Linked DNA regions of Caenorhabditis elegans. The protein of the gene in region 4 purifies or fractionates together with the protein of the main gene of each other region. This does not show direct contact. Each region holds a gene or a part of one and is shown on either strand. Other genes may lie near its edges.

Region 1 (3,297 bases), on a different chromosome or scaffold from region 4:
TGAAAAATGGCTCGAAAACAAATAATAATAATAATCAGATGTTATTACGCATTTGAAAATATTATTCGGAACATGGAAAATCGGAGGTCTGAAAATTCAGTTACCTCGAGCTTTGACTCAATTAGATCTGAATCACACGAGGTTGGCTGTCTTTGAAATTGTTACGCCTACACTGCGTGGTGGAACAAGTTAAATAGATTCTCAAAAATGTGTGCTATTAAAATGGAAAAAGAAACAAAATAAGTCACATGCTGATCAAAATGAACCACGCAAATTTGGTTTCATTTTTCTCAATCTTATTAAATTATGCCTGCAAATTATTTGATGATTTATAGTATATTCTAACCTAGATTATTCACCTCTATGAAAAGAGAAGTAGTCCGTATAACTATGGCCCACCTTGAATAGACTTCCGGATTTTGCAGATATCGAATAATCTGGTGTTTGCTTTGTTTGGTGCTATAATTGTTTTTCCTATTTTTCTTGTGATATAACTGAAATAAAATCGGAATTCCAATACTTGGAAAATCTTTATGGCAAAATAGAAATTGGGGTAGAAAAAATTAGAAATATTAATCTATTCACATAAAAAAAGATGTTTCAAGAAAAATTAGAAACATTAATGCATAGATTTTCAATAGTAATTTCCTCATCCGTTATGAAGTTCTTCTTGACGCGACCTTCAAAGTCTTCCTGTCCATCGCTATTCTGAAAAATATACAAAAATAGGATTATGTTTGTTTGATGCGGAAATTGATTTTTTTTTAATGTGCTGAAGATATCGAAATCCTTACCAAGTTAGTTTCTACCTGTGATCCTTCACCACCTATCACAGTCAGCCAGGTCTTGATAGCAACACCTTCATAACATGGTGCAACTTTATGTGCATTTCCATCTTTCATATTTGCCGTAATTGAGTTCTCATCAACCGCAAAGAGGCCAGTAGTTTGCCCTGCAATAATTATGGGTCCAGTAAATTCTAATTCAATGTAGAATCCATTTTGTGTATTGTCTGGGGTTAGCGGTGTGTCCAGTGAAAGTGTAAGAATCTCAGATTCCAGATCATGGTTATAGTCGTCACATAACACACTTGCATCTGAAACTTGGGAAGTTGTATTGTTTTGTAATGTCTTGAAATTCAAAATTTGAGTCCATAATTTTTTCAGCACAATTACTATTGAGAAAAAAACCAAAAAAAAAACCGTTTCAAAATTTAAATTAACTTACAAATGGGACATTCCAGGTATACAGCGTAAAAATTGATCAGCCTAATAGAAGTCCATTGAAAATCCCTTGATGCTTGAATTTTGATTTCCGAAGTTTCTGCAGTGAATTCATAGTCGACTCTCACTTTTCCGCAGTAAGTCTTGTTTGCCATATTTGGATCGAGTTGGAGCATGTATCTAGTCGGCCGATATGTGGTGAGAAGTTCCGACATATTTCAATAGAATCAGAGAATAAATGACAGAAATGAGACGGCCTCGACAGTTTGATACGAGTGAAAACTGGTTTGTAGGAGGAACACGTGCACCCGTAAGAGATAGAGAAAAATGAAAAAACATCGATTGAATTTGTAAATATTTTCTCCTCGGAAAATCAGAAAAAAAATAAACAAAACATTTCAATGCCATTGTTTTGAATTTATAAACTTATCTTGACTAGCAAATCGGAGAGTTGCTAGGCTTCGCAGTTTAGTTCGGCGTAGAGTAACTCAAGAATAATTCGCTTTATTCGCTAAAGTTTAGTCAAGTGTTGAGTAAATGCCAAGTAAATGTGCTGAAGTTTGTCAAGACCGGCCAAATTTAGTTTAATATTAATTTTAGAAATAAAAATTTTTTCAAATTTTTTTGCTTAAAATAGGCTTAACAGTTGTCCAACGCATCTGCGTCTATTTGGGCTTGCGACACTCGAACTGAATTATTATGCTAAGAATAGGCTTGACGGATCTCCAACACTTCTTCGTGTATTCGGGCCTGTGGCTCTCAACTCGAGTTTTTGGGCTCAGTATAGGCTTAACGGCTGTCCAATACGTTTTGTGTATTCGGGCCTCTGGCCCTCAATCCGGTTAACTGACCTAGGTGACCTTTTTCATTACTTTTCCAAAAACATACGTAGTTATAGAAACATACCTCTCAGAGAAGGCCTCCAGCCTGCTCTGCTGGGTGTAGGGATAGAAAAGGCCTAAAGTTTCAAAGAGTAAGAAGGTGGCCCTAATCCCTGATTTTTGGGTTTGAGTGAAATACAATAGCATTGCAGGCCTCCAGCCTGTCCTGCTGGAAGTCAGGTTAAAAGTAGCCAACATGTTCAAAAAGTGCGGCCCTCAATTAGATTAGGGAAAAAGTAAAAATCTCGAAAAGTCTTCAAAATTGAGTTTTCCTCACGTTATTAAAAATAAGAAATGAAAATTATCGAATTCATCACCAAAAATAGAGAAAGAGAGAGAGTGGTAGAAAAGTTTTTCACGTTTAATCAATCTTTTTGATTTTGCAAAAATTGAATGATGGCCTACATTTTGGAAAGTGCGCCAATTTTTTTCAAAATAGTTTCAAAAAATTGGAAATACGAAGTTCTCTCTTGCGCACAAATTGGAACCAAATGTCAGAAAAACTGAAGATTTGGGGCTGAAAAAACATGAAATTCGTCAGTACAAAGAATACATCCATTTCGACCATACTCCAGAATTCCGCTCAAATCAGTGTTTTAGCCTTCCCAAAAGCTCCCCCACAATGATGACGATGGAAGGCGCTATTTTTATAAGCTATTGAAACAAATTGCTCAAGAAACCGCCAACCCTAAGCCAAGATATAAGCTCTCAAAGTGCAGTCACATTTCTCGGGACACCCCATTACGACAACGTGCCCTTATTTTTTATTTCTGTCAAGAATGCAATTTCAGGATTTAATATAGGAAGAGGCAGAAAAAATATTTTTATGAAGTTCACCCACATAGGACGATTAACTCGAGACCCCTAACAAATCAGAAAAAAACGCCAAGTCCAAAAATTTTCGGAAACTAGCAACTTCTTGATACGTACCCCCCAAGCACACGTGAACATTTAGTAAATTTGTCATACTTATGAAACATCCAGGGAACACATACATATATGAATAAAAAAACTTATTCATTGATTCGGTAAATTAATTGTTCAAAAAAAATTGGAAACACTATTCCATATCGATAATTGGTGTGACATAAATGTAAACATCTTCAATAGTAAGTTCTTCTTCTTTTAAAAAGTTATTCTTCACTCTTCCTTCGAATTCTTCGTGCCCAGCGTCATCCTGAAACATTTATCAA
Region 2 (3,319 bases), 3.4 Mb from region 4:
GCAAAAGTTGTTGTCTCATGTTTTTCTGAAGATTTTTGTATTTTGATTTCAAAATGTAGTTTGTTTAATAAATAAAAAAACATATTTTTCTCGAAAAACTATGAAGAATTGACCGCAGCAAATAAAGTTTGGATATACAGTTCACTTTAAAGGCGCGTACCTTCCGCATTTATTAAAATGATGTCGTTCAGAAACCGAACCAGCCGCAAAAATAGCAAAATTCCGCGTCTGGATAACATTGAAAATTCAAAAACTTGAAAAAAAAACTAACATGAATCAAGCTTTTCTTCTTATACGCAGATACTCCTAAATTTAAAATAATAGCGACGAGAAGAATTTGTTTCAACATTTTGAGCAGCACTCTGACTGATTTCTTATCAATTTACGAAGCACAATTTTCCACTTTTCCGGGTGATAAGTCTTTTAACTGATATCACTGATTTGGACTGGGCCGTTGAACTTTGACGTGATTCGATGATTTCAGAGTCATAAACCAATTCTACTAATACGACTTTCAAAGTAATAAAAAAGTTTTTATAAATATTCATTGAACATTTATCTCTAGCAGCAAACACTAATAAAAACAAATCTAGTTATACACGAATCAATTATCAATTAGTCTTTGATTCCTTTTGATTGCTCAAATTTCTTCAACTCTTGTTCCACAAGATCATCGGATTCATCCTTAACTTCGATAACTTCCTTCACTTCAGGCACGTAGAATGTGAGCATATTCTCAATTCCATTTTTTAAAGTGACTCCAGAGCTTGGACATCCTGTGCATGAACCTTGCATCTTCAATTTGACAACACCATCGTCAAAACCAACATAAGTGATATCTCCACCATCTTCTTGTACCATTGGTCTGATACGTGTCTCTAGAATTTCTTTGATCATCATTACAACTTCATCATCTTCTTCCACTTGGTCGGAAACAGTTGCAGCTTCATTTATGACAGGTTTTCCGGTTTGAATGTGATCAGCAATTGTTGAGAAGATTTCCGGACGGAGGAGAGCCCAGTCAACAGTCTCATCTGATTTCGTGACAGTTACAAAATCTTCTCCGAAGAACACACGCTTCACTCCGTCGACTCGAAGAAGTTTTCTGAAAATTTACAAATAAATACTATTTTATCTGAATGGTAGTTAAAATTTGGAATATTCCTTACATAGCAAGTGGACTTTGTTTTGCTGTAGCCGCTGAGCTGAAATCGTATGTTTTCGAGGCGTCTGGGAGAAGCTGTTGACCTGAAATACTACATTTCAGATTTTAAACAGTGAAGTTTCCACTAACCAGGTAAAAATTTTAAAGAAAGTGGATTAGGTGTCTCCTGAACTTGAATATACATTGATCGAGCTGAAATTTTAAAAAATGAAAGAATTTCTGGAACCAGTATCACCTGCTTGTACAAAGCTCCGGTTCAGTCTTGTGAGCATTTTTGATGAAATCATTTTTCTGAAAATTTTTGTTCTTTCAACATCTACCGACTTAATTCTCAAGATATAGGAATCAAAACCTCGAGTTGTACATTTCAATAGCCTAACCTGTATACTTTCAAGAATCACGATTCATGGATCAACATAAAGCGAAGAAAGTCATAATTAATTAGCAATGAAATAAATGCCCAGGTTTCATATGAAACAACGAGTAAAACATCAAAAGTGAAAAATAAGACACACTTTTCAATAAAGGGAAGAAAAAGTTGGGACCATTTGACATCCGTCTCAAATACATATGTGTTGTGTTGGAAGACTTGAAAAATAACCGAAAAAAAAGAAGTAGTATGTCGGGGGAGATATAAAAAGAACAAAAAATGGGTAAACGGGAATAATTTGGACAGAAGAGTACAATTTCCACAAGGCTGAGCTCGCAAGAAAACACTTGCTAGGGATGGGAAAGATCGAACATTTGAGAGTTGAAAGAAAAAATGGACCAAAAAAGGCTAGATTTAAAATGAAGAAAAAGTGTTACAAAACCCGGAACGAGGAGACGAAATAAAGAAAAATGGATGCAATTCAACCGGGAAGACATATTGTTTCACGGTTGAATAAAAAACAAGTAAACACCGAATTATTATGAGGGGAGGGGGGACTAATTGACAAGAAGACGATTTTGTGAGCGATATCTACCAGTTGGAAGACCATTTATTTGACGAGGATGACTGATGATTTTGTTGGCCAGATGCAGACTGCTGTTGCTGTCCAAGTCGGTTCCAATCCATTCTGTAATAAATAAACAAATATTTAATTAGAAATCGTAGAACTTACGCTTGAGGCATCTGACCGTAAGGCTGTTGCTGTGAACTCTGTCCGTATTGCTGATACATTTGCTGCATAGAAGTTCGAGATGGGTTCGTCGTGGAAGATGCATTTCCAAGAGAAGAGAATCCAGGTGGAGCTTGTGGAGCAACAAATGGTGGCGGTTGGGGCCGAGGTTGGATCATTCCGAGTCGCGATTGATTTGCAGAAGCGTTGCTGGGAGCTCCGAACGGCTGTGGCTGTTGAGAGTTATGCATGAACGATTGTTGTGCGAGTCCTTGTTTCTTCTGTTGTTGTTGTTGCTCGAGAATAGCAGCAATAACGCCATCAGAGTCATTCTAAATTTCCATTCATTAATTTTTAAACTGATCCTGCTATCTTAACATCAAATTTGTCCTAAACTTACATTAAATCCATCAAATTGCTTTATTCCTCTCTGTGACAATGACGGCATGCTAATTTGCCCTAAAACACTGGCATCCGTATACGAAGGTGATGGATAGTAGCTATTTGCAAGTTGACTACTTGTTGGACCAGGTGCTCCTGTAGAACTCTCTTGATGAGTCAATAATTGGGCGGCAAGCTGCAAATAAATCAAATAACGTATTTTCAGACATAAATCACGGATCCCTACATGGTTATACAGATTGGATCCCTGTCCATCTTGACCTAGCGACTGCATCTGATTGTAAAGTTGCTGCTGCTGTTGTTGTGATTGTAGCATTGAAAACTTTGAAGACATCAAGTCACTTGGTTGCTGAGAACTTTGAGACTGATGCTGTTGGTATTGTTGCTGGAATTGCTGAATCCTTTGCTGTTGTTGTTGTAGTGCTTGCTGCTGTTGAAGGTGTTGAATTTGCTGTTGTTGTTGCTGTTGAATATTCGTGGAAGTGCTATTAGCAACAGAATTCGATTGAGATCTTGCAAACAGGGGTGGTTGAGATCTATTCGGATCACGAGCAGACGGTGCAAATGAGGCTGGCATCCAACCTTTCAGTTCCAAAGAAGATAATCCAGTAGTAACAGAAGACGTAGATGGCTGCTGCACTGGTGCTGATGA
Region 3 (2,557 bases), on a different chromosome or scaffold from region 4:
TTGAAGTATTACCAGGCCGCTTCAAATTCGTTGAAGTAATTTGTTTTGGCTTCCATTTTAAACATTCCGTCGAGATCATGGAGAAACAATCTCCAAAAGCATGGCTTTCAATAAAAAATGCAAAAAAAATCAAGGATAGTGGCACTTTTGTGAAGCTTCCAAAAACATACAAGTTAAGTTTTTAGCTCAGTTCTGCAAAAATGAAGAACCATCCAATCAAAAATGCCAATTTTTGCTTTAGAGTACACAGAATCGGAGTCCAGTCAGCATTGAAATGTCTTCATTTACACCGTCAGGCTTCAAGTCTGTTCAACATCTAGGAAGTTTCCATATTTTTGAGAGAGTTCCATTTCTCGAAATTTACCGCAAATATTCATGATGTGCTCTTGTGGATCTAATAACAAAACTGATTTCCAGAATTTGACAAAAGTGACAAACTTTTTCTGTCATGATTATTTTTTCAGACCTTGTGAACTTGTGAAAACATGTATTGAAAAATTGAAAATTTCGATGTTTCTGGTAAAAATGCAATGTGACATTTATTGAAGGAAAAACAAACTAGTCAAATTATAAAAGAAATACTTTTTAACAATTACTTTCCTCCTGGGAATCCGTATCGTCCGTACCCTGCAGATGGTTGCTGGAATCGGTTTGATCTGTAGTCATTTTGTCCCCAACGAGTTTGTTTCTTCCAGTCATCGTACAAATCGTTGAGATTACGCTCGTAGTTTCCACGACGTCCATAATCAGAACGAACCTCGTGTCGGTTATAATCCCACACACCTTGCTGAAAATAATTTTGCTTTTAGAGATTTTTCAACAAAAATAAGTATGACAAACCTTTTCAAGGAATCTCTCATAAGAACTTGGCCATCCATAACGGTTTCCAGGTCCGGCAGTGACAGTTGCTAAAAGCATGGCAAACGCCAGGAAAACGGCAGTAAAGTTCATCTTGACTGATGATGTCCTGACCATTGATTCCTTCACTATTTATACTCCTTTTAAAGCTACGCCTCTTAAATTTAATGTCTAATTTTCACATTGTGTTTTTGAACTATCGGCCGCTTCGTTCATCTATTTTTTTCATCGAATTCTCGGTTACCCGGGAAACACAATCTCGATTGTAACAGTTTTCTGACAAATCAGAACGCCACCAAACAAAGATTGCGTTTCGGGAAGTGAACTGATAGCGAATAGATCAGGTTCAAATGAACAATTTAGTAATACTATTTCAAAATCCAAAATTTATATTTGTGATTGAATAATTTGTGCTCACCAACTAGATGATTTTTTGGAAGATTTTTTAAAAACGTTTTTGTGGTTGTATTTTGTGCCACTGCAAACGGTGATAAACTATAATATTCTATTATATTAACTACTTCATAATATTATTCCAAGGCAAAGGAAGTATGTTCCTCATTATTAAATTAAGAATAAAGTTCAACAATCAAACTCAGATAATAGCTGAACGTGAGAAAATTGTGTAGAAGCCTGGAAATAATTGTTTCAGGTTTTGATTATTGTCGCTTTGAATAGAAGTACTCGAAAAATGAAAACATGGTCTTTTTCGAAAATCGCCTCCCCAGAACGATCTCTCATAAGATTGTTTTCGGCAAGTTTTAGTAAAATCTGAGGTGAACAATTGAAGATAAATCGTGGCCGAGTTCTGGTTTTTTTAGGCCACGTAGTAAAAACCCTCTGTGAACCTTCTATCTTTTTGATAACATCTGTATTGATATATCTCGCATGAAAACAAAAGTTTTTTATCTGATCTTTACTTCAGTGAAAGACTGCTGTGAATTTACTCATTGTTTGAAACGTTAAGTTTTGTTAATAAGTCCATTTTTGAAATTCAAAAACATTTTGCAATCCTTATAAATGTTCACTTTGCAGTTACCATAATTACAAAAAATTACGAATTTTATTTGAGATTTTGTAAAACTAAGACAAAAACGATAGAATTATTAACAAAAAACGCCAAAATTTGTGTTTATCCCTTGAATCCGTAACGGCTATTTCCTCCAGTTGGTTGTTGGAATCTGTTGGATCTGTATCCCTTTCCTCCCCATTGGGTTTGTCTCTTCCAGTCGTCGAAAAGATCACGGAGGTCACGCTCGTAGTTCTTGCGTCCTCTGTAATCAGCACGGGCTTCGTGTCTGTTGAAGTCCCAAACTCCTTGCTGTAAATTACTTATTTAAAACTTTATTTTAAAACAATAATTTACTCACTCTCTCAAGGAATCTCTCGTAAGAGCTTGGCCATCCGTAACGGTTTCCTGGTCCAGCAGCGACGGTTGCCAAAAGCATGGCGAAAGCCAAAATAATTGCCAAAGAGTTCATTGTAGTCGAATGATGAATTTCTTGCCAAATTTTCTTTATTTATACTGTTTTTCTCAGGTACGCCTCTATATGTGCGGTCCAGTTTATACGTTGAATCACTGACCTCTGTTGTCTCCTACGTTGCATTTCGTCAATCTCTTTATCATCATTGCATCGGTTGCTAGATGTGGTGTTACGTTTTTACAAAGTATCACGATTGTGAGGTGTCAGGCTGATTA
Region 4 (2,887 bases):
TTTCAAAAAGCTGTTTTCACTTTCCAAAGAGTCGAAGTATTACATTTGGTTGTTTTTTTCTTGCATTTTTCCGATGAAAATTTTAAAAAAAAATAATATTTATGTACTCAAAATATAAGGAATGTGTAAATATCAAATATTCAAATTTCGCCATGAAACAGATCTCCAATGTCTCGTCCCAGCTTCAGAACTGTTGTATTTTGAAGGTTACACAGGATGGCCACACAAACACCGGAAGATGTATTTACAAGAAGCACTGAAGAAGCTCCGACAGCTGCTCCGGTGTGGTAGAAGAATGAAGAGTTGGAGCTGAAATTATTACGAATTAATATAGAAATGCAATTTCGGAAGTGCTTACATATTTCCATCAATTGATTTCAGATCTTTTCCGTCCACTAGAAACCATCCGAGGCCTGTCGAAGTTTTCGAGTCAACTGGGACTTGCTTTTCCAGGAATTTTCGAATAGTTTCTCGTTGTAGCAGACAATTCTTGGAATCCGACAGAATACTGTGAAGGATGGCGTTGGCGATGATCAGAAGATCGGTGGTGTTGGAGATGATTCCACCGCCGGCGAATTTGTTGGAGCAGTCAACTTCCGGACAGTTTTCCAGAATGTTTTTCGAATTTCGCTGGTAGTAGCTGAAGTTTTAAATAATTTTGGTTTAAAGAATCATTTAAAATTTTAAAAACCTTACCTAGCCCTTCCCGGAACAATTTTCTCTTTTGTATCCAGTTGTGTATTTCTCATTCCTAGATCCGAAAATAATTGATTTGCAAGCTGTCTATATGTTTTTCCTGAACATTTTTCAAGAACAGCACCGGCAAGTGTCAATCCGTATGTGGTGTAGGAGAATTTGGAGCCAGGTTTTTCCACAAGGTCGTCATTTTTGAAAATGGCAAGGGCGTCGAGCGAGGAATTGTATGGCTTGTTCGAGAGAAATTCGGGGGTTTCTGTGTTGTTGTTGGATGGATCTTCGTGTGTTTCGGATTTTTTCTGAAAAAAATACTTATTTTTTAATAGTATGTGGTTAAGGAATTTGAAATGAATTCCAAAATATTAAAATTCAATGAAAGTTACCGTACTTTCTAAAGGCACATTGGTGAAAAAGCACAAATGCTCAAATTCGCTTCGAGACCCGCTAGGGTTCAAAATACTGTGCGCCTTTACTACAGTATGTTTTTTGTTTTTTTTTTCTAATTTTTATTATTATTTTTATGAATTTTTAATGTTTTGCGCGAATTCAAGGATTTTTTTATTGGGTTTTGTATAGAAAATAATCTAAAAACTAGTAATTAATATAATTTTCTCATCAAACAACTGTTTCTATTGATTTTTTCTAAGTTTTCCATCGATTTTTATTTATTTATCAGTGTTCTCTGCTAAACTCGCCAGCTAAAGCATCAAAAACCTTGGCCTTGGCCGAAAAACTTCTCGGCCATGAACATGTGATGGTGTCTTGTGTGCGCCCACTACTTCTCCATTCTTCTTTTTGTTATCGCCGAGAAAAGTGATCTCTGCTTTAATTCTAAATGTTTTTTTCTGGAATTCCCTATTTTTATGCACAAAAATATTGCCTTTCGTTGCTAAAAATCCATGATTTAACGTATTTCTACTTTTATATTAATTTTATTTTTTAAATATAATAAATTAATTCCAGACAAATCACAGAAATGTCGCTTCAAATCAGTTCAGCCGCGAAAACACTCCTGCACAAGTTTGCGTTGCCAGCGGCAACTTCAGTTGCTCAGTATCACGAGAAGGTAGGTTTTAAATCATTTTCAGGCGTTAAAAAATCAATAAATTACACATTATTTTCAGGTTATCGATCACTACGAGAACCCGCGAAATGTCGGATCACTTGACAAGAACGATCCAAGCGTCGGAACAGGAATCGTCGGCGCTCCAGCTTGTGGAGATGTCATGAAATTGCAGATTCGAGTGAGTTTTTTCACATTTTCCGGGGAAAAAATTATTATATTTTAAAGCTAAAAACATTTCCAGGTCGACGATAACGGAAAAATCATCGAAGCCAAATTCAAAACATTCGGATGTGGAAGTGCAATTGCCTCATCTTCCCTGGCAACCGAATGGATTAACGGAAAAACTATCGATTACGCGTCGAAAATTAAAAATGACGAAATTGCCAAAGAATTGTGTCTTCCACCAGTCAAACTTCACTGTTCAAGTGAGCTTTTTTCCCTATTTTTCTCGATTTTTTTCGCAACTAAAAATGTTTCAGTGCTCGCCCAAGACGCCATTCAAGCCGCTTTGAAGGATTATCAGAAGAAGCAGACTAAGAAGGCCTAAGCCTGAAGAATGTGTAATAGACAATTTGTTTTCGTTATAGAAATCGCTATATATAAAAGAGCTTTTTTGTCACCTTTTCAGTTGCATAATGACGAATTCCAGCGGAATGCGACAGAAGCTGTCTCATTGTGATTTTGACGTCTTCGTTTTTGAACTTTTTCGCCGGGAATTCAGGAAGATATTTCTGAAAAAATTAATTTCAGATTTTCCCTTCCGTTTTAAGTTGCAAACCCGAATATCCTCATCAAGATCTAATGTTCCATTTTCAACGCACTGTGCTGCCAACGTGGCAGTTATCGGCTTACTGATGCTCGCAATTCGCATCACAGAATCTCCTGTACATTTTGCAAAACTTTCGAGATTTGCATACCCAAATCCACTTTTCCAAACCATTTTTCCATCCAGCGAAACTGCAATCGAAAGGCCTGGAATACCTTGAATAGCCTGAAAATAATGTCGAATTGGAGAAAGTTATTACACAGACTTGGAATTTAGAGATTTTTCCGCAATTACCTGGTCTCGACACGACAAATTTTTGTTAAATATGAGAAGGTGTGCGCCTTTAAAGAATACTGTAA

Evidence for each region.
Region 1: the proteins of iscu-1 (region 4) and F47B8.8 fractionate together in Caenorhabditis elegans (co-fractionation; one large-scale study listed by BioGRID). This does not show direct contact.
Region 2: the proteins of iscu-1 (region 4) and nfu-1 fractionate together in Caenorhabditis elegans (co-fractionation; one large-scale study listed by BioGRID). This does not show direct contact.
Region 3: the proteins of iscu-1 (region 4) and spig-20 fractionate together in Caenorhabditis elegans (co-fractionation; one large-scale study listed by BioGRID). This does not show direct contact.

The regions. Positions count from the first base shown.
Region 1 is NC_003283.11:14,329,884-14,333,180, reverse strand, and holds F47B8.8 (Aminopeptidase N-like N-terminal domain-containing protein), read right to left. Parts: upstream 1,508-3,297; 5' UTR 1,439-1,507; coding exon 1,228-1,438; intron 1,097-1,227; coding exon 795-1,096; intron 709-794; coding exon 601-708; 3' UTR 514-600; downstream 1-513. Other genes in the region: pepm-1 (Aminopeptidase N-like N-terminal domain-containing protein), read right to left, coding at 3,165-3,281.
Region 2 is NC_003282.8:10,385,550-10,388,868, reverse strand, and holds nfu-1 (NFU1 iron-sulfur cluster scaffold homolog, mitochondrial), read right to left. Parts: upstream 1,457-3,319; 5' UTR 1,453-1,456; coding exon 1,401-1,452; intron 1,358-1,400; coding exon 1,295-1,357; intron 1,249-1,294; coding exon 1,170-1,248; intron 1,106-1,169; coding exon 616-1,105; 3' UTR 518-615; downstream 1-517. Other genes in the region: R10H10.3 (CUB domain-containing protein), read right to left, coding at 272-349; Ankyrin repeat and KH domain-containing protein mask-1, read right to left, coding at 2,127-2,223, 2,269-2,597, 2,666-2,842, 2,894-3,319.
Region 3 is NC_003284.9:6,084,535-6,087,091, reverse strand, and holds spig-20 (Neuropeptide-Like Protein), read right to left. Parts: upstream 969-2,557; 5' UTR 952-968; coding exon 841-951; intron 788-840; coding exon 593-787; 3' UTR 525-592; downstream 1-524. Other genes in the region: C45B2.2 (Neuropeptide-Like Protein), read right to left, coding at 1,991-2,179, 2,229-2,339.
Region 4 is NC_003282.8:13,782,303-13,785,189, forward strand, and holds iscu-1 (NIF system FeS cluster assembly NifU N-terminal domain-containing protein), read left to right. Parts: upstream 1-1,659; 5' UTR 1,660-1,672; coding exon 1,673-1,762; intron 1,763-1,820; coding exon 1,821-1,940; intron 1,941-2,003; coding exon 2,004-2,187; intron 2,188-2,241; coding exon 2,242-2,309; 3' UTR 2,310-2,378; downstream 2,379-2,887. Other genes in the region: lact-9 (Beta-lactamase-related domain-containing protein), read right to left, coding at 141-309, 359-640, 697-995, 2,383-2,493, 2,541-2,753.